Linked DNA regions of Lonchura striata. The protein of the gene in region 1 purifies or fractionates together with the protein of each later gene. This does not show direct contact. Links are inferred from orthologs where the notes say so. Each region holds a gene or a part of one and is shown on either strand. Other genes may lie near its edges.

Region 1 (9,935 bases):
ATTGGGTGATTAAAGAATCCACTGATGTTCTCTCCCATGCAACACGATTATTTTCTGGGTGTGGGGCAGATCATGATGACTAAGAGCATTTATACAACACTCCTGGGACACTGTTGTGCATAAAAAGGTAATTATTTTGTGAGGAAAGGAATTTATGATGCCTGGTTTCCTGTGGGTGTTTGCGTCTAGGTTAATAAGTTGCCTCTGCCGAAAAAGATGCAGGTTAAGAGGGAGATTTTTAATACTGTTCCCTTTTGTTGCTTCTCTGATGTGAAATGATATAGCTGTTCACAGAGACCTGTGAAAACATGGGTCTCATTCCACTGCCTGATTTTCCTTCTTGGCAAAAGGTTCACACAGTTGAGACATCTGCCCTTTCACCACACTTGATGGAAATTATGCCATTAATTGAGAAGTTACATATTGGTGGGGAGGTCGTGCTGGACAACCTGAAATGGAAAAATTATTTCCTCTGGAAACAACACAAGGATTTATGGATTCATAATGACTCAGCACCGTCAGCACTTTTAAAGTCAAGGTGTCTGCTAGGACTTGTCAGTGTTATGTAAACGTAGTTGTGGTTTGAAGCCTTGCTTGTGCCTCATTTGTGACTAATCTGCTGATTGCGGAAGAGGGGAAAGAAGCGCCTAAGGCAGGGGCATGGAGCATTCCCAAAGTCATTTTGAATTCCAAGTTGCCCTGTTCTATGTGTTTCAAGATCTCCAAACTCAGAAAAAGCCTAAAAACAAAAGAGAAGCTACACGTGGGTTTGATGCGTTGATCCGTTTACATTATGAAAGCTTATTTTATATGATTCAGCATCTTTGTATTGTAATGTCAAAGGCTGCATGAGTCGCAGGCTTGCACACCAATGCAATATATTTGGACATTTTAGGTATGTGAAGACAGTGTTTCTTTATTTGGTCAGTTAGTGTTTTCCAAAGTAAGAGTCACGTTCTCCAACACTCCACAAAAAAACCCAAAAAAATCAGGGCCCAATCTGACATCAAAAGCATACATGGTGCCCCTAACTCTGAAAAACTACTGGACAATAATTTCACCAGGAGTTATCCTTGTATCCATAGACAACAGTAATTGCTCCAGAAGGTAGTGCCAAGACTGAAAAAAGGTAAAGGTGACTTCTGTCTTTCATTCTACCATATCTAGGTATAGCTAACAACATTATTAATGACTTCAATGGACATAGTAAGCTTAGCAAAACTAAGGCAATTTATTGAATTTTTGTGGTAGATTTCTTATTTCCCCATGTATGTAAACATGTCTCCTTGAACATTTCAAAGCTGATGAGCAGAACAGCATTTTTAAACTCTCTGAAGCAATCATAGTGGAAGAACACAGTTAACTGACCAAAATATATTTGATTTTTTTTTTTCTGCCCAACATATATCAGAGATTTTTCTTTATGACTGACAAGTGCAGAGTCATGACACACTTACCGAATGATGAGTAGTTCCACCCAGACCCTCACAAATGCAGGTAATGGGCCAAAGGCCTCCAGGATATAGGTGTAGTGACCACCAGATTTCTTAATGCACGTCCCTAGTTCAGCATAGCAGAGGGCACCTGTGAGAATTCAATAACACCAACATGAGAGATATCCAGAAATATATATCAAAATATATAGCCTAAACTATAGAGCTGTCATGGTATCACTACTACTTTTAATATTTTTTTTTCCAATTAATTTTCTACACTTTAATTCAATCAGCCAGACATGCAGTAAACCAAACTATTTATCTAGTTATATTTAAAGCCACTGGACGAGCTATTTGCAATTACTACTCAATATCTTGTGAAGAGGGACAACAAATTGGGGTTTCACACCAGCCACCCTACTTCCCAGGCAGCACCACTAAATGAAAGATTTCTGACATCTTTGCCTGTTATCAAAGGCTGATCTACTCCTTTCAGCCTTAGAGATGCCTGGCTCAATCTCTGAAATTGTATCACCTCTCCTCAACCATAGTCAAAAGCAAACAAATGGCCAAAATTTGGAAGAAGGATCTGCAGAATAAGAATTCTCCTCAACGGTACTCCTAACATCTTCCATACAAAACTCAGGGGATGGCTTAGTGGCAGCTTTTCAAAACTGGTGGATTGTTTTGTGTCCTGCAAATGCAGCGAAAGGTCAGGAACCATCACTGAGTTACAAAGCCAGGGATTCACAGCTCCACAGGTGGAACACATCAATAGTGCTCCACAACCAACAAACAGAGGCAGCCCTCTTGGAAGACTCTGAGAAGCCAGTAATAATCAGGAATAAAGTTTGTTAGCAATGAATCACACATGAACTCATTTCAGCTCTCTTCCCTGCATGCCTCTACGCTGCAGCACTTTTAGATAAAAACTACAACTTATCAAAACCACATCACCTGTACAAGCCCATCAAAGCTGTAGCACATGATGACAAATTCTCCAGCCTTGTTCATTTCTTTTGTTCGGGACATTGCAAAAATGTGGCAACTTTTATCTGCTTTTCTTTAACATACCTGAAGATGTGTTTAAAGGAATCCTTACAGCCACATTAAAAAAAAGGTGTTTTGGCATTTTCTTTTGCCAGCCTCTTCTGTTGAGGTTCAGGATGAAATGAAATTGTGTTTTAATATATGTTATAAACACAGCCTCGGCAAGATCTTATGTGACCTCTTTGTGTGATTTAACTATAACTGAGTCATGAAGAGAACTAAAAATCAAAATATTACCAAAAAAATAACAACCAAAAAACAAACAAACTGTAACAGGCCCATTGTGAGAACAAGATATTATCCTTGGCTGTGCCAAATTACACAGTTCTTCGTATCTAGATGTCTGGAAAGGGACCTAAAAATCTGATAAAAGAGAATGGGTTTTTTTTATTTTGATTTGGTTTTTTGTGGGGTTGGGGTTTCTTTTCTTTTTTTTTTTGGTACACACTTTATTTCACAGCCAGAAGATTACTACTACTTAAGTTATAGCCATAAATGCAGTGCTTAAGCAAATTCTGGGTTAAGTAACTCAAATGACCAAGGTCTTTTGACAGGGTTACGAATTGGATCTGAGGTTTTTCTTGCTTAGAGAAAGGAGGAGAATTTTATTGCAGGCAGATCTTCCACATTTGTACAAGAGATTATGCTGCACATTGTACCCATACATTTATCATTTGACCCAAATGGGTCCCAGCTAACTCGACTGTTTGTTTGGCCTGGATGGGTTTAGCCTGTAAAGAATATTTCTTTTAAGCTCAGCACCAATTTACAAGGTGGCATTTGCATGTTCCACCTATTAAGTAGACACTTAGTCCCTCTTTGTCCTCTTCACCTCCTGCCAGTAAACAAGCAGTTTCCCTTTTAAATAAAGCCAATATTCATGTTAGTTCTTCAGTTTCTTTGAGATTAACTCATTAAATAGGTCAATGAGCCCTCTGTCCCACGGAGGCCAGGGTGGGGTTTTCCACTCTGAATGAGGGTTTTGTGTACAGAACAACTTAACTGGACTTCTCCAGAATTCAACACTCTTCAAGAATAAAAAGAATTAACAAAAACTGCCACAATAAGCAGTAATAAAACTCCCAGGACAGATTTGCTTCCATCACACTGGTTTTTTTGTAGCCCAATCTTTCAAAGCAACATCACAGGTGAGGAAGGAAGGGCTGGGAAGAGGGGTTATTAGTATTATTGTTTTGCTCCCCTTCATGCAATACAGCTTACATACAGTAGGAATTATTCCTCTCAGACCTTGCTCTAGCCTCTGGGGAACTAGGCTGAGCTGTCTAAACATTTCAGTGGTGATCTAGCAGCGTGCTCATCCAGCTGCCAGGGCTTCACATGCAAACCATAAATACATCTTACAGGAGAAAAACATACAGCACATTCTATAGGGGAAAAAAATGCTCGTTTGGTTTTTCTGTTCCTTTAGGGACTCATTAAAAAAAAAAAAAAAAGTGCTTCCAGCTTTCACCAGCTGGTGCTGGGAGCAGAGGGACAGAGGTTGAAATTTTTGCACCCTCCACAAATCCATCGCGAAGCACAGACCTTCTGTAGTCCCATTGGCGCTCAAGCTCTGCACTCTCACTTCCTATCCAATAGTAAAATCAGAGAAATAATCACAATAATTCGCCGGCTGCCCCTCTAGACCAATTAGAAACTTTTCAGGGACTTACCAAAAAGCGAGAGGATACCACACACTGTCCAGACAGTCAAGGACATGCCCACGCTGCCTGTGTTCTTCAGGATGCCTTTGGGAGAGATGAAGATGCCAGCTCCAATGATAGTGCCAATTATGATGGATATCCCCCTCAAAAGCGTCACTTTCTTCTTCAGCACAACTTTTCCCTCCCGGGCTGGCTGTCCACTGTCCATAGAGGACAACTTGCCATTAGCTCGTCCCTGCAAGTAGCTTCCATTAGAGACCGTGGGCACAGCAGCTTTCCTGAACATGCTACAGTGCCACCAGCACGCTGCTGGCAAGCACAGGCAGAAAAGTTTTCAGCAGAAACTGAAGGTTTGTTTTGTTTTTTTTTTTTTCCCCTCTCTGTGTAGCCAACTACTTTGTCTCTTCCTCTGTTTTCTTTTATCTCTCCAGCTGCTCCTACACACAGGTAACAAGTTCTTCAAGAGTAGGTGAGCCCTTCCTGTGATCCCAGCCCAGCACAGGAACACCTGCGTCTCCACACCGTGGTACTGCCCTATCATTGGAAACCAGCTCAGCTTCCGCATGGACTTGTATTTAAGCTCTTGTCATACCAAGTTACTCCAGCTGAATGATGATGCAAATTCTCCAGGTTTGCATCAGCCATTTGAGAAACCTCTGGCATTACTCAGCATTTCTTTTTTTTTTTTTTTTCCTTCCTCTTCTTTTTTTGGTTGTTGGGGTTTTTTTTCTTTCCTCCTTTTTTTTTTTTTTTTTTTTCTCATTTTTAAACTGTAGGGGCATGTTGTGCAGCTGACCTGGGGGTGGTGAGAAGAACAAAGCACTCGCCAGCAACTCGAGCCAAACCTCCCCAATCAATGCAAGCCTATCACCCAAGACACGCTCCCAATTTTTTTAAAAGCAGCTCAGAGCCAGAAACAAAAGCCTGCCTAAACACAAAGCTCGTCAGAGCACGAGGAAAAGAAATCAAACAAGATACGTCATCCCTGGGTCTAATCCAATTTCATTCTCGAAAAACTCCCAACAAAAGTTCCGTTTGCGGGGGCTGAACTTTCAGCGCCGCGGTTGATCCGCCTCTCCCACGACTATATTATTAATTTGGAAATCTCTGTAGGGACCAGAAAGGATCCATACAGCCCCGGTGTTACCCCGAGTTACTCAGCTTATTTCCATGGAAAAGGCATTTTCTTAGGGGCAGCTCTTTTTCCGGGATGCCGGGAGCCAGCCCCGCATCACTTTTTGTTAAAATGCGCCGCAAAAGTTCGCAGCCACCTCCCGTGTGTGACCGGGCAGGAGCAGGGCACCACCCCAGAGCACAGCATCTCCAACAGCTCAGGAGTCAGAATGGCTTTTTTGTGTCGTCCCCGATAACACAAAAATCCGCAGAGCTCCTCTGACCAGATAAACAGGTGATCGGATGCATAAATACATTTGCTTGGCACGATCATTCAAATTCAAACTGAGCAATTGAGGTGCTTTCTCCTAAAACGGAGCAAAAATCAATAGCCTCCAAGCATTTTTTGACCTAATCAAGGGACAGCCTTTATAACATATGCCAAAGGGGGAAAATTCTTAGCGGTATAACTATTGCAGCTGCTAATAGTTCCAGATTAGATCAGCGTAGTGAGAGGTTATTGCTACAGTTACTGCTCTTACAGGTATTGCTTAATTAGTACCTAGGTTTGGGAGTAAAAAGAAGATCAGTTAAACCATTTTATCCTTCAAAAAGAAGGCACTGAGCTCAGAGCACAAATGTGCTTTCAAATTTATGTGAGAAAGAAGAAATACTGGACTAGCGACATGCTGCAGCTGTCAAACTTGAGTGTTTTTAAAGCCTCATATTTTCAGCTATAACTCACCTGTAACAGTTAGCACTGAGATGAAAGAAGGCAGAAAAGAAAGCTTATCTGGTTTAAATGCACACAGGTAAAAAAACCAAGTGATTGCAGCTTCTGGCTGCATGACAGTCAAGTAGTGCTTGTCTGGTTTTCTGAACATATCCTACTTGTGCTTCCAGCCGCTGATGTGCTCAGTGGCTGATCCCTCACTTGGCAGCTGATCCCACATGTGACTGCACAGGCTGATTGCAGACAGGACCTTCCCTGTCACCCCACAGTCCCAACCCAGCCAATTCCCGTGGCACTAGTGACAAGCCAAGCCAGGACTCGGTGGCGTGTTGTGCCAAGATGTTTTCTCTGGCTGCACGTTCCACAGGCTGCCCCCCAATAGGATTAGGCAACTGGATCAAATCAAACCAGCAAAAAGCATTAACCAGAGAACTGAGTTGGGCTGGTGACCTTTATTTTAATTTTCAAAGGCTTTTTAATGAAGAAGCGCATGACATCTTCAAACATCTGATACTTTAAGGTAGACATTCTTAACTAATGTCTTTATTTGCACAGGAAGTTGGTTCCAAGATCAAACCAAAGGCTCAATAGCCAGACAACCCCGAGGCAGCTCCCAGCAAGCCAGTTGTCTGTAACAACCATCCAGTACAAATCCTGGGCACTATAATGGCTTTCAAATAGCATTTGATTACTAGCCAGAAGAATCCATGTTTCCCCTTTGGGCATAGCAATTAACACTCTCCCACGCAGGGAAAAGGGTGCTTGTTCCTTCAGTGGTGTGGGGATAGCACACAGGCAAAGCTTAGGGCTTTGTGTCATTCCCAGGGAAATTTATAAGGTAGGACCAGAAGAAGGCTGGTTGCAGAAAACTCCTTTTCCTAACTTCTGGCAGCTTGCTGGAGATCTCATTATTTGTAGCCTTCCCAGGGAGTATGTTTGTTTACTTATTCTTCACAGCTTCTCAATGCTATCCACTAAAAATAAGAAAAATGGGAGCTTTTCTCCTTTGAGTTCCAGCCTTACTTCCAATTATTAGTTCCACTCAGGATAAGGAATACTTATTTGGTGTTGGGGGATTTTTCGTTATATTCTGGGAATTTCATGAGAATTATCCATCAACTGAGCTCAGTCCTGAGGAGGTCATGAAGCTGGAAGAGGGTCATAACTGTCTGCTGAACCCACTTAAACTATACTCACAACATCTCTTCTTATTATTTGTATCTCACAGCCACTTTTACTTCAATTATTCATCACAGAGAGAGGACCACTATGCAAACACAACAAAAAATGCTCAGTGTCTTTTCAAAGAGCTTTTGTGAAAGCACAGGGCTTAACCTGTCCAACACTCAGAACAACCCCATTCTTCCATAAAAACTCACTATAAAAGCAGAACAAAAATGTAAAAGGTGCAATTTTCTTTAGACTGATGACATTATTTGAAGCCATGTTTCTAAAAAATATGTTCTGAAAATAAACCTTCAACCTCTAATAGCATCTGGCATTGTGCATAGCCTTTTTATTGTTTCTCTCTGGTTATTTTTTTTTTTTCCAACCCATAGACATTTTCTCCTGAACAAACATTTTAGAGCACAACTGAGATCATCGCTGTGAAAGTTCCCTTTTGAATCTCACCACCAGCCCTGATCAATCTATCCACTGGCTGTTCCAAACAAAAAATCCTTACCAGAAAAGCCTACAAATCCTACACCTACACCCTGCAAAGAGCTAAAGCATCAGGCAGAAGATTCAGCAGCCCAGGCTGGTTGCCTGAATGCCATCAGTGGCCTCTCCTGGCCAGCTGCATCTCTCTTGTCAGGGTTTGAGCATCACAGGGAATAACAATACCTCAGGCTGAACACACCTAATAGGGTGTTACCCCTGCCTATCACACTAACAGAGTTTTTGCCAGCATCTGGACACAGCTGTATCTTTCCAAAGAAGCAACAGTTCTGGCATTTCCCCTGGGGAATGCTACAAAATACACATTTTGAACTAAAGCATTCAACTTTATGGTAATGCCGCAACGAATGCAGCAAAGTGGAGAACCTAAAGTCCAATCCTGACCTTGAGTTCCCAATTCTCAAGCCCACAAAAACTCCATAATTTCTAGATGTAGAGAGCATACCTTGACAACGTTTCCAGGCATTTGGCTATCAGCTTATTGCATCAAACAAATCCAAAGAGTCACGAGTCAAGCCTCCAGCCACAGGTTGCCATGCTGACTGGAGACACAGAAATAAAAGAGGAAGTTCAGCAAGACTGAAGAGGCGAGGAAAGCCCCAGACTATTACACGTGGGTGGCATGGCATGAAAAATGTTGTTTAGAAAACTGATCTGAGTCTTCTGTGTATAATGCCAAGTTGTTTGTGAGCTTCAGAAAGCAGCCCTGCAGAAAGGCACTAGTCTGGTTTCAAATGTCAAAGGATGACAAAATACCTAAAAGTATTTGTTTCATGTAGATAATCTAACACTGAGTAGTTTTGACTGGGGATTTCAGCTCCTATTTTAGTGTTGAGAAGTTTAGCTAGTACTGGGGGGAAAAAATCCATAAGCATTTAAAAAATAAGGTGTCATTGAGAATATGAAATAACTAAAATCTCAGACTACTGGGACAGTTTTTAAAGTTTTAATACAAACATAGTACTGTGAGAATATCAAAATACTTTGTTATCTCTAATACAGGCCAAATCTTTAGTTTAAAATGGAACTACTGAGAATGTTGGGGGGTTTGTTATTTTGTAGTCAGAGTCTAACAAATTCCTCAATTCTTTTGCATTCCACTTTGTGCTGGATACAAACATATTTTGCAGCGAAAGAAAAAATGAGAAGGAATGAAAGACACATGCAGCTCACAGATTTTAAAAATAAGATAAAACCACTATAAGAAATCCAAAAGCAATTCAAATATTTTTTTTTTCTTGTATTCTCAGTCAAAACCTTCCTACAAAATGCAGGAAGCAAATAAAAATCTGATCTCAAGAAGACTGCAAGCAAGAGCAGTTTAGAAGGCAAATGCTTCTGAAAGTTTCCCTGTCTTCAATTTGCTGATAGCTGCCAGTCAATTTTCAGCTTGAAAAGAAGGAAAGAAAAAGGGATTTCAGAAATCTCTCAATTTTTCTCACTATTAAAGCTCTATTTCAAAAGACATGATGAATTTAGCTGAATGGTTTGACAGTTTAATGGGTCTTTTTTAAGCAGACAGGAATCATTAGCACCTTGCATCAAGCATGAAAGCTCCACATGAGAGAAAGCCAATTCTCACTGAAGCCCTGTGGATGTGAAAATATGAGTGTGTTTTATACCAATCCATTTTTCATATTCAGGCTATATCTTATCAAAATCTAAGCAATGCTGTACATAGATATTATTTTTGAGTTTCTCTGTGTTTGTATTTCCAATTAGCAGAATGAGACAATAATTTTCAGAGTCCCCATGTTATTTTTCCTCAGCTTTTGGATGCACACACTGGCACTCAGGAAATCAAGACCTCAGGGTAAATTTCCATTAAAAATGCATGTGCCAGATACCTAGCATGATGGCAAGATTGCTGGCAGCTTCAGAGAGTCGGGATTTTATTTCAGATGACTCAGGCTAGGCTGGGCATGTGAAGAGAATTAATTGGTACTTCAGAAAAAACAAATCTTTGAAAAACCCAGATAAAGACAGAATTAGCAGTGAGAATGTTTTCTAACCCATTTCCCCGTTTTTTGTGGGAGAATTCTTCACAGTAAATAAAAGTTTGTAATGTGAAGAAAACCTACAACAACTGCATAGATTGTCAAGTTTAACCTTGGCTCTTTAGCAAGTCCATATTCACTTTTATAATATTTTTCATACAATTCATACAGTATCATTTTCCATTTGCATTACTCTATTTGATTAGATGTTGAACTTTCTGTGAATTATGGTTTTATGCTAAAAATAATATTTTTCTTTTTT
Region 2 (9,845 bases), on another chromosome or scaffold:
CCTCTCTGCCACTGCTATTAGCAGCACCTATCATGGCCACTGATAATTACAGCGTCTGATAGCTTTGAAATTATTATTGCCTCTCTGGGAGGGAGAGATGACTGTCTGTTAAGAGATGATGGACTCCTGGAAAATGACCAGCAGCTACACCAAACTGGCTTCCCGCCCACAGTCGTGGATAACACGCAGAGAATGGTCCAAACCACCAGGTTTATCACACAGAAACCCTGACAGGTAAAGGCAAAGAACAAACTAGGCTGTGGATGTGTTCTACTTGCTAGCAAGTTGTAAGTTTCCATCTCTCTATTTTCAGAATTCAGCTTAATGCTGACAAATTGAATCAGCACACTGCCAGATGCCAGCTGATTCTAAAATATGATGTGTTTTGAACACAATTAATTGTTCCAGTGCAATGTTGCATTGTTTTCAAAGTAGGCAAGATTACTGTGATGGGTCATGTTTGTTTCACAATTATCCTCTCTATGAAGTTATAGTTCACAGATAATTACATACATTTAGCCTTGGTCCTGAAAGACCAATTTTAGAGACGAGTTTTGCAGAACTCCTTCCCTTGCTCTCTTACATAGTATTCTCTTGAAAATAAAGACCAAACAGTGATATATGAAGGGAAGAATGATCATCTTACATATTGACTGTATTTTCAAACACTTACCCCTTAGTTCTGGAACAAAAACATGATGCAAGAAGACCAGAAAGCAGATGGAGTAACCTTTTTACAGCTTTGGAACACCAAAAAACTTTTAAATTCTTTGACTGATTTATCTGCTCCTTATAAAGGAACTCTACATTGCTTTTTCTCTGCTCTTCTACAAGGTGTTTTACTATCAGTCAACTACATTAAGAACTAGTATTATCAAATATTATCACATTTTTTTCAACAAGTATTTTAGGCGTAATGAGCTCATGATTCTCTTTGGTGTGTATCTGTCTATCACAGCATGTCATGATGTCTCTGGCTCCTGGCACATTCTTGATACAGTCAAACCTCATGCATGTTTAGGTGATAGATGAATAACTGCAATATTCACACTATCTTCAATTCAGACCTATAAAAGTAATGGGAACTCTTCTGGAAAGAAAGATACACCACATATGAATGAACATTTTGTTTAACTTTGGCTAGAGCTATCAGTGGTTTTAAAAGCATTTACTTTAAAAAGTTCTTCCTCAATTGTCCGATGCTATCTGTCCTCATTAAGCCTTTCTCCGACTTCCTATTTTCAAGGTAATGGCTCTTCATTGTGGTGAACACCAGTACCTAAAGAATCTTCAAACATTTCTCCAAATTCTCGAAAACAATCCCCCACCATGCTTTGTTGGCTCTGCGTGTGCGAGTGTTTCCAGGACAGCTCCATAACCCTTCCACTAAACAATGATGGAACGTTCAAGTGAACTCTTAATAAAGTCTCCTTACTTTATAGCTTTGGGAAACTGCCAAGATAGACACTGCAAGGACCGAGTGAAAATAAACTAGCACAAAGAGCTTCTTCAAACTACTTTATTTACAAATTTACATGATAGATATGTAAACCAAGGGGCAGGCAGGTCTCTTCCTCTGTGACTGACCAGCAGCTGCAGGAGCCCTGTCTCACAGCATTACCTTGGAATGGGCTCTGGCAACCTCTCCAGTGCTAACAGGTAAGCTCCTTCCTCCCACAGGCAGACTCATTGTCCCTCTTTCCATTTCATGCTTACCACTACTACTTCTCTTCTCTTGCGCCCCACCCCTTCCAGTTTGGGGGTCAAAATTCTAGGATTTGTATTAATCAAGGAAAACTTTAAGAAAAATATTTCTACAAATACATAATGTTTGCAGGAGAAAATCTCCTGCAAAACATCATTAACCAAGATGTCAGCATCTATATTCTCTGGGATCCAGACTCCTTAAACAAGTCATGTCAACACTATGAGTAAGAAACATATCAGTGACAGTATAGTCACAACAGCACAGAAATCAGGATGAGTAAGTTTTCCAGCTTTCTCTGTATCTCATTTTTCCTTCTGAAATCACATTAACAGTAATTCCAGGTCCTTTTTAATTCTGTACAATTCTGTACTAAAAGAATCAAAATTCCAGTTCAGGAGTTTCCCAGCATCAATAGCCATTAGTCTGTGATACACAGCAAAATCACTGGCTAAAAATAGAAAACACCACCATCAACTGCTGTTTTGAAATAATTACTGACTAAAAAGTCATGCTGGAATGTACTGTATACCAACTTAAATATACTGTAGCTATATTCTAGTACCTTACTAAGCCAGTAAAGAAACTTCCCTGGAGGGCATATGTGGAGCTTGACACACTTTTTGTAACTACACTGATGGCTCAATAATGGGGCTTTCTGTCTCACTGTAAAAACACATTACTCCCAGAGTCAGTGCAGACCCTGCTCTCTAGGACACTTCAGGCAGCTCATAGAAGTAAAAATCAGTCAAGCAGTTATTTACACAGTGCACAGACGTGGACCAAGCCAAGGATTTAAACTTATCTTAGACATACTTTACTTGCCTAGAGCAGCCCTGTCCTTGCTCTTAAGACTTTGCCTATAAACCTCATCTTAGCAAGAGCATTTTGATACAATGGACACACAATTTTAGGAAGAAAAGCTATGAGGCTGCTTCAGCTATCACAGAAGCACTGGGAACTTGCTCCCTCTGACACACCCATTCACAGCCTGGCAGCGCTGCAACCATTAACAGAAGTATCCCCTGCTGCTCAAGCAAATGAGACACATATTTACTGTACATACACAGACACGCACACGGCCCTGGGTGACGATGGTCATGAAAAATGCATTTTGTTAGACTCCTGAAACTGATGAGTACAAAAACAATACAGAAGCACAACTGTTATCCCCAACCACAAAATGCCTCGAGGCAGTTACAGTCACAGTGAGAGTCTGCTAAAAGTATGGTCATTCCCCTAAAACATGGTTGAGCCTACACCATGTAAAATTTCAAAAGCTTTTTGTCACTTTGGACATAATTTTTTTATTTTTTTCTCTGTATTAACCTTAGATACTTAAATACAAATATTTGAAGCAGATAACCAAGCTACAGGAAGGTAAGTGATAAACAGCTGAACTTTGTCCCTTCTAACCCCCTTTGTTCCAAAAGCTCATCAGTCAGCCCCACAGAGACCTTAGAAAGTCAGAAGCAAGCATGCTTGGCATAAAAGCTCTCCAAATTTCAGCAGAGCTCCCTGCAGTTTTTCTCCTGTTCAGCAAGGCTGTGCCCAAATGCAGCTTGTTTCAGCTGTTGGTTCAGCTCATGTAAACTCCAGAATGCAGCTGTAAACTGGATGGGGGGTGGGGGCTCACCCCCTTCCTTCCGCCCCCTTTTCGCTGCCGTCCGAAGAGGAGCTGGGAGAAAAAACTGCGTGTGGAACAGCAGTCACATTGTCAAACTGAGCTTTACCAGAGCCATTCCGAATTCCCTGATGGAGTTCTGTTCCTAATTTAAACTTCGTTCTTTAATGTTCTACAATTCAGTTTTTACATATTTGGAATTGCCCTTTACAAGCAATACGCAGCTTTCCGTGCTTGTACAGACCAGCACAACTGAGATTACACTTCTAAAACATCTCTGATAACACTTGAAATAAGTAAAGTTTATAGATGCAAGAAAGCTGTTAGCTATCTAGCAGAAGCACACTTGCTGTCTGAAGCATTAACTTAACAATCATAAGAGTTTTCATTCATAAAAATCTTACCTGTTTCTGCTAGACAGAGCTTCAGCAAAAATAATCCAAAAATTGTCCGTAAGAAGTTGGCCATTGTTTTCTTAGAACTGTTTTGCAAAATCCAAAGATCCTTGCAAGCTGCAGAAGGAAGGAAAGCACCAACGCTTGTTAAGCCTGCAGTCAATGAGTCTGAAGTTTGCTGCACTTTTTATTCTGATTCAAAGGAACTGAAGTAATGACATAACTGGGAGGGGGAAGCTCCATCAAAAGTCACACCCATATTGCAACAAAAGTTACCCAGCAGCAGAAGAAGGGGGAGTGGAAGGAGAGCTAGGACTGACTAAGCAGGCACACTTGAGTTTTAAAGAGCCACTAAACCTTCTCTTCTTACACTAGGCTAGTCAAAAGTTATACTTAGTGTGCTTGTAGGAAAATTTGTGTCATCTCTCCTGAGTTCTCTCAGAAATGCACTGTTTGTTATAAGCATTTCATCCTGCATTTTAAAATCTCTTCATTATTGCAAACCAAGTGAACATAAAAGCATTCGAGTTTCTAAACCCTGGTAAAGCATCTTATCAGCCTAGATATTTTCCAAAAACATTTTGCTTATTTATTCCTATCTTGCCATTTTCTCTTTGTGCGGTTCTATTAAGAGCAAGTAAAATGCCTGCTCTGCAGTGAAGCTTTCTGCAATGTTTTTGTTCACTGCTGGAGGATAACATCATGCAGAAGGTAAGTTGAGGCTGTTCAGTTTCCCACAGCCCGTTCTACCCTTGGTGTCCCTGCACACGCTGCTCCAAGAAGAGAAATGAATGAACAAAAAGTAGTGAATAATGCCAGTGCCAGAAGTGAGTGATGCTGAGCACTAAGGCTGATATTTATTCTATTGATGGAATAAGGTACAGAAGGAATTTTTCCTCCTATTCCCAATTCAGAAAGCAGAGAAGCAGGATGAAAAGTTACGAGATTTTTGAGGTTCAAACAAGGTCTCAGTTCCTGAGGGACATATGTTCATTGCAGTGTGTGGTTTTGTTTGGCTCTTCATGAAACCTCTGGCGAAAACCCCAAAGCCTCTGTAGATAAGCAAAAGGCTTGTCTCTTGTCTCTTGTGTGCCTTGGAGATTTCCTGTGGTGGCTCCATGCACTGGCTTCTCTTAGAGCTGAAGAATTGGAACAGTGGTTCCTGTGCCCTGGGATGAGGGGTTGGTCAGGGATCACCAAAGCCAGCACTTCTCACCTTTAACAGCCATAAATGCCTGGATTTCAGCTTCCCTTGCCAAATCTGGATTGAATAGTCCTATATCAGATTACCATTTTGTTGATCTCCCCACTTGAAAGAAGTTTCTCATTAATTTAATCTCTGTTAACACAAACAGTGGAAAAATACAGACAAGTATCTCCAGCCACAAGCAGAAGAAGGTCACATAAAGAGGTTTTCAGGACTTTGCCTTTGTTTTGCCTTTTGACTTAGAGATGGCTGGCTATCCTTTCCTCAACCAGGCAAATTTTTAGCAACAGGTTCCAACAGGCTTTTCCTACAGGTCTAGAATATCTGATGGGACAAAGTTAAAGTAAAAATTTTTCCTTTAAACACAGGGTATATTTTTATTATGAAGCTAGCAACTTTGAAATTATGGATAAAACACCTTTTCTTTAGTTAATATGCTATTTTTATTTTTTTAAAGAAATGGCTTTAAAACCAATTAGAAAGCAATCTCCTATATACGTTATTGTCTAAAGTGGAAAGATAAATAGTTCTGTAAAATCCTGTGTATTTATATCTGTAAATGTTTTGGCATCAAAATCCATGAATAAAGATTAGTGGGATTTCAAAATGCTGGCACACAGTTAACAAATGCTTTAAATTTACTAAGTATATCTTTTTCTTCAACTGCTAAGTTACTTTTAAAACTCATGTCCTATGGATGAAACAGAATAGTTAAACATTTCATTTAAATTTAGGAAATTTTGAGTCCTATTTTTTATGAACATAAAATGACTCTCCATTAATATCCTGTATTTATAATGATACAGAATTAAAAAAAAAATAAAAGTTTTCTTTGGTACAGGTAAAGGGAGAATAACATCCATTTTAGGGATAGAGGCAGAATCTTAGATAACTAGGAGTGGAAATTCCTGGTCTCTTCATGGTGTGAAGTTTCTAATTCTATAGCCCTTCTGACAACTGAATATGTAAAGGTTGTTTTCTAGATACCAAAATATTAGTTGTTATTCATCTCAGTCTTTTCAATAATTTCTGCATGTGTTCAGCAAGGGTGGGTGGTATTCTGCTTTGGAAAGACTCTCAGGGTTGTTGCCCTGAAAAACTGGGCTAAGATTAGACACATTTAGACCACAGCATGGAGGTGCTAGTACCTCATGCAAAAGGAAAAGATAGATCTACACAAGAAAAATAATTGATAACTTTACATCATTTCATGTGATAAATCACAAAAACAATTAATGAGCTGTTTGTATGGGACATGTGAGTTTGGCCATTCTTTGTGCCATCAGCCTGCCTACATGGCAGCCTAGAACACACATGTGCATTCCACCAAAAAAATGGCACAAAAAATTTCCTGTTTTCCCACACAAACATGGTCAGCTTATGTTGGTCTCAGGTAGCCAGCAGCAGTCCAAATTTAGCCTGGCTGCAGGGCAAAATGCTGCCCAGAAGGTTTAGTCAAAGCAGATGTACAATTCTGGAGAAACTGTTGGGTTTGGAGGTTTGTTTTTCAGGGTTTGTTTTGGTTTTGTTTGGGGGATTTCTTTGTGAGAAATACGTAACTTCTCCTTTAGTTTGGGAAAACCGTATTACATAGGAACAGAAAAATCCTGAAGCAAATCTTCAGCTGAAAAAATGCAGCAGAGCATCCCTTTTGAGCCTGTCAGTACTGCTAAATATCTGAGATCCGGAATTTGCTTACTTCCTTGGCAACAAGAAGCTAAACTACTGACACCAAAATTTTGTAAAATGATTAATGAATTAAGTTTTCAAAAGAAAATGAAACAATAAGACTGAAAAAGGATAAAACCCTAGAATTTAAAAGAGTGTTTTTCTGTGACATCTTTGATACTGCGAATACTGAATCTGTGATGGTATAATATAGCACAGGAACACCAAAATAACTCATTTGTGATTTTATCACATATGTGAACTGTAGCCAGCACTAATTAATTTTGATAAAATTCCTACTAGGAAGTACATATATTGGAGTCCTAGAAAAGTAACATGCATAGCTTACAACTATATAAGAAGTAGGTTTTTTTTGCAGGAATTCACATAGAGGATTAAATTCTGGCCTAGCTTAATTGAAAGAACAAAATTCCACTGAACTCAGTGACACAGCCTCTCCCTAGAATGAATATTTAGATTTTATTTTGTGGACAGACAAGAAAATGGATGTACCTGAATGAACCTGTACTTATGATGGAAAAAAAAGAGTAGAAATGGAGATTGATTTCACTATTGAATGGAAGAAATTGAAAGAAGAGTAGAACGGAATTCTGTTTCTGGAAAATAGTGGCATTTGTCTTCTCAAGCCTTAAAATTTCTAAAGAAACAGATCTCCTAATTTTAATTTTTTTCTATTATCAGCAGAAATACTATTTTTTGAAATAAAAAAAAGAAGTTTATGAGCATAACTTGGTGAATATTTCAAGCTTGTTATGGGGAGCTGAACAGCAACTGGTCTTAGTGAATATAAAAAAAGCAAAATGTCATTAGGTAGTTCTGCTCATGGCTGTGTATGTTTTGTGTAGACTACGGGTGATCTGTGAGACTGGCTGAAAATCAGATTTGGGGAAGCAGGGAGGATTTCATACCCACTTATCCGTAATATCAATAAAATATGCTATTTTTAATAATATTTCCTCTATGTCTCTAGACTGCAATCTGGTTTCCTGCATTTCAGACTGGATTCAATTTCAGAGTAGATTTAATTTTCATTATCAATCCTGAAAACAGGCTTTGTAATGGCAACGGTTGTAAATGCTCCAGTGTGGCAAATCTTGAACTGCACACTTTTCGTGGGCTCTGAGTGCTGATGGGAAGCCCTAAGAAGAGCCTGCGCTGGTTTAAGCAAGAAAAGCTGCTCTTCTGGCTGGAGGGCAAAGCACTCCCTTGGGAAGTTGAGCGCCCGGTTCTACTCCCATCAAGCTTTTGTTCCTGGATGTAATTTACAACCTGTGTCCTGCAGAAAGTTAGGAAGATGAACAATGGCTCCTAGTTGTTTACTCCCGAAAAAAAGCAGCAACCCAGATTGGCACCTAGCGTGTGGATTCATCAGCCTGTTCTACTGGTTTGCCCCAGATCCCTAAACAACTCCTGAATCCGAGACAGGCAGAAACCTCCGCAGCCCGCACGGCTCGAGCCGCCTGTGAGGAGCCCTGCCAGCCCGTGCGGCCCCATCATCTTTCTTGTCCGCGGCCCCATCATCTTTCTTGTCCGCAGCACCACCGCAGCCACGTAGTCCCTGGCTGACCCTCGTGTGCAGCAAAGCACACCCCGGTCCCCACGGACAGCTCTAATGCCATGTCCCCCCTCGGCTGCTGCTGGGGATGGAGCTGGAAAGTGCCACCAGCTGTCCCAGCCCGCCGCAGAGACCAGAGCGCTTCGTGACCGCCCGAGTGAGCAGCAGCTGCGCGGCTGGGCGTGGGGCGTGCGGGGAAAGCGAGGGGAGAACACTCGCGTTCTCTGCAGGTGGCTGCTGTCTGCCTCTGCCCCTCCTTCCCCTGGCTGGCACACACCGTGCAAGAAGTGCTGGAACGGATACACGCGAGCAAAATAAACGAAAGTGGGAATGCAGCTCTGTATTCCCACTTTTATTTCTTTTGTTTGCAGTTATACAAGAGGTGAATCGAGCTTATGCAAAGCTACTTTCTGGATGTACTCTTTTGTCCCTGCTGCCTTTCCATTTTCTTCTACTTGATTTTGCTTTGTGATTTCTACCTTGACTTCTGTCTGTCATGTCCACTAATTTCTCCTTTTTCTTAGCCCCCATTCTTTCTCATCCATTCTCTGTTCCATACAGTACATTGGAATTATTATATCAAACATCTAAAGCTCCAGAAGAGCAGGTGAGCCTTACAAAAGGCAAACATTCAGGAAACTCAGGAAACACTTCATATTTGCATAACCAAACTGTTAACTGTTATATATAGATAAATGCTTAGGGGCGCTTGTGCCTAATACAGGCCTGACCAGAGCCAAATATTTTCCTATCTAACGAAAGTAAACCCCGAATTTTAGCTGGAACAGTTTCTGTTCACACTAGATATGTTTGTGCCACTCTTGCCATAGTCACACACAACATATCCACATTTAGACTGTGTCTTAAACATAGCAGTGTGGGAATGAGCAGCTAACCCTATCTTTTTCAGTTACAAAGAGCAGTAAAACCAGAGCCCATCTGTATATAAACAGAAACTTACTAAATTTCAGTAGCCTCCTTGTTAGTCACTTTTATGATTCCTTTGAAAGGTGGAAGGGAAGGAAAAGCATCTTAATTTTAGACCATAATAAGCATGTTTGTTTTCAGAGGCAAGAGTTTCAGCTGTTTCCAGTGTGGCTCTAGGAGGGAAGGTGCAGGTGTGCACACATCATAGCGTGAACAGGCTGAGGAGGCTGACAGGCACAGCAGTGCTAGGTTTGGAAATGCTGAACTCGCTGGGAAAATACACACAAAGCAGCCTGGCACTTGTATACTTTTAGGGAATTCCTCCAGCAGTGGCATCTTCTTCCTCAAATGGACAGTCCTTTTCCCATGTTGGATGTGCAGACATCAGCAGCAACCAGCATTCCCCCTAAACACTGTAAGTTATGCAAGTTGAACATAGCCAAGACTTAATGAATTGGTGGAACAGCAGCAGCTGCATATGTCCTAAGGTTTGAACCTTTCCACCTGGATATACCCAGACAAAGCCAGGAATGCTGTCTCCCTGAGCTCAACTGGAAAACAGAGAGCCAAAGGAGCTGTCTCAAGTCCAGGTGGAACCAAGTGCCCCTCCATGGATGGAGAATGCACAAGGCAGGAAACTCCTCCCAGTTTCCCCCCTTGGAGCCTCATTTCTGAGCTCTACATAATGTATGTTGGAATTGTCAAGTAGCAAATCCTTGGACTTCTGAGGGAAGTTCCCTTCT

The links.
Region 2: the proteins of SLC7A11 (region 1) and CD44 purify together in Homo sapiens (affinity purification with western blotting; 3 studies listed by BioGRID and IntAct, with this or other methods). This does not show direct contact. The link is inferred for Lonchura striata from reciprocal best matches to the Homo sapiens genes SLC7A11 and CD44.

The regions. Positions count from the first base shown.
Region 1 is NC_134606.1:73,942,687-73,952,621, reverse strand, and holds the start of SLC7A11 (cystine/glutamate transporter), read right to left. Parts: upstream 4,468-9,935; 5' UTR 4,437-4,467; coding exon 4,160-4,436; intron 1,585-4,159; coding exon 1,458-1,584; intron 1-1,457. UniProt on the Homo sapiens protein: Heterodimer with SLC3A2, that functions as an antiporter by mediating the exchange of extracellular anionic L-cystine and intracellular L-glutamate across the cellular plasma membrane.
Region 2 is NC_134608.1:43,623,497-43,633,341, forward strand, and holds the start of CD44 (CD44 antigen), read right to left. Parts: upstream 3,910-9,845; 5' UTR 3,798-3,909; coding exon 3,734-3,797; intron 1-3,733. UniProt on the Homo sapiens protein: Cell-surface receptor that plays a role in cell-cell interactions, cell adhesion and migration, helping them to sense and respond to changes in the tissue microenvironment.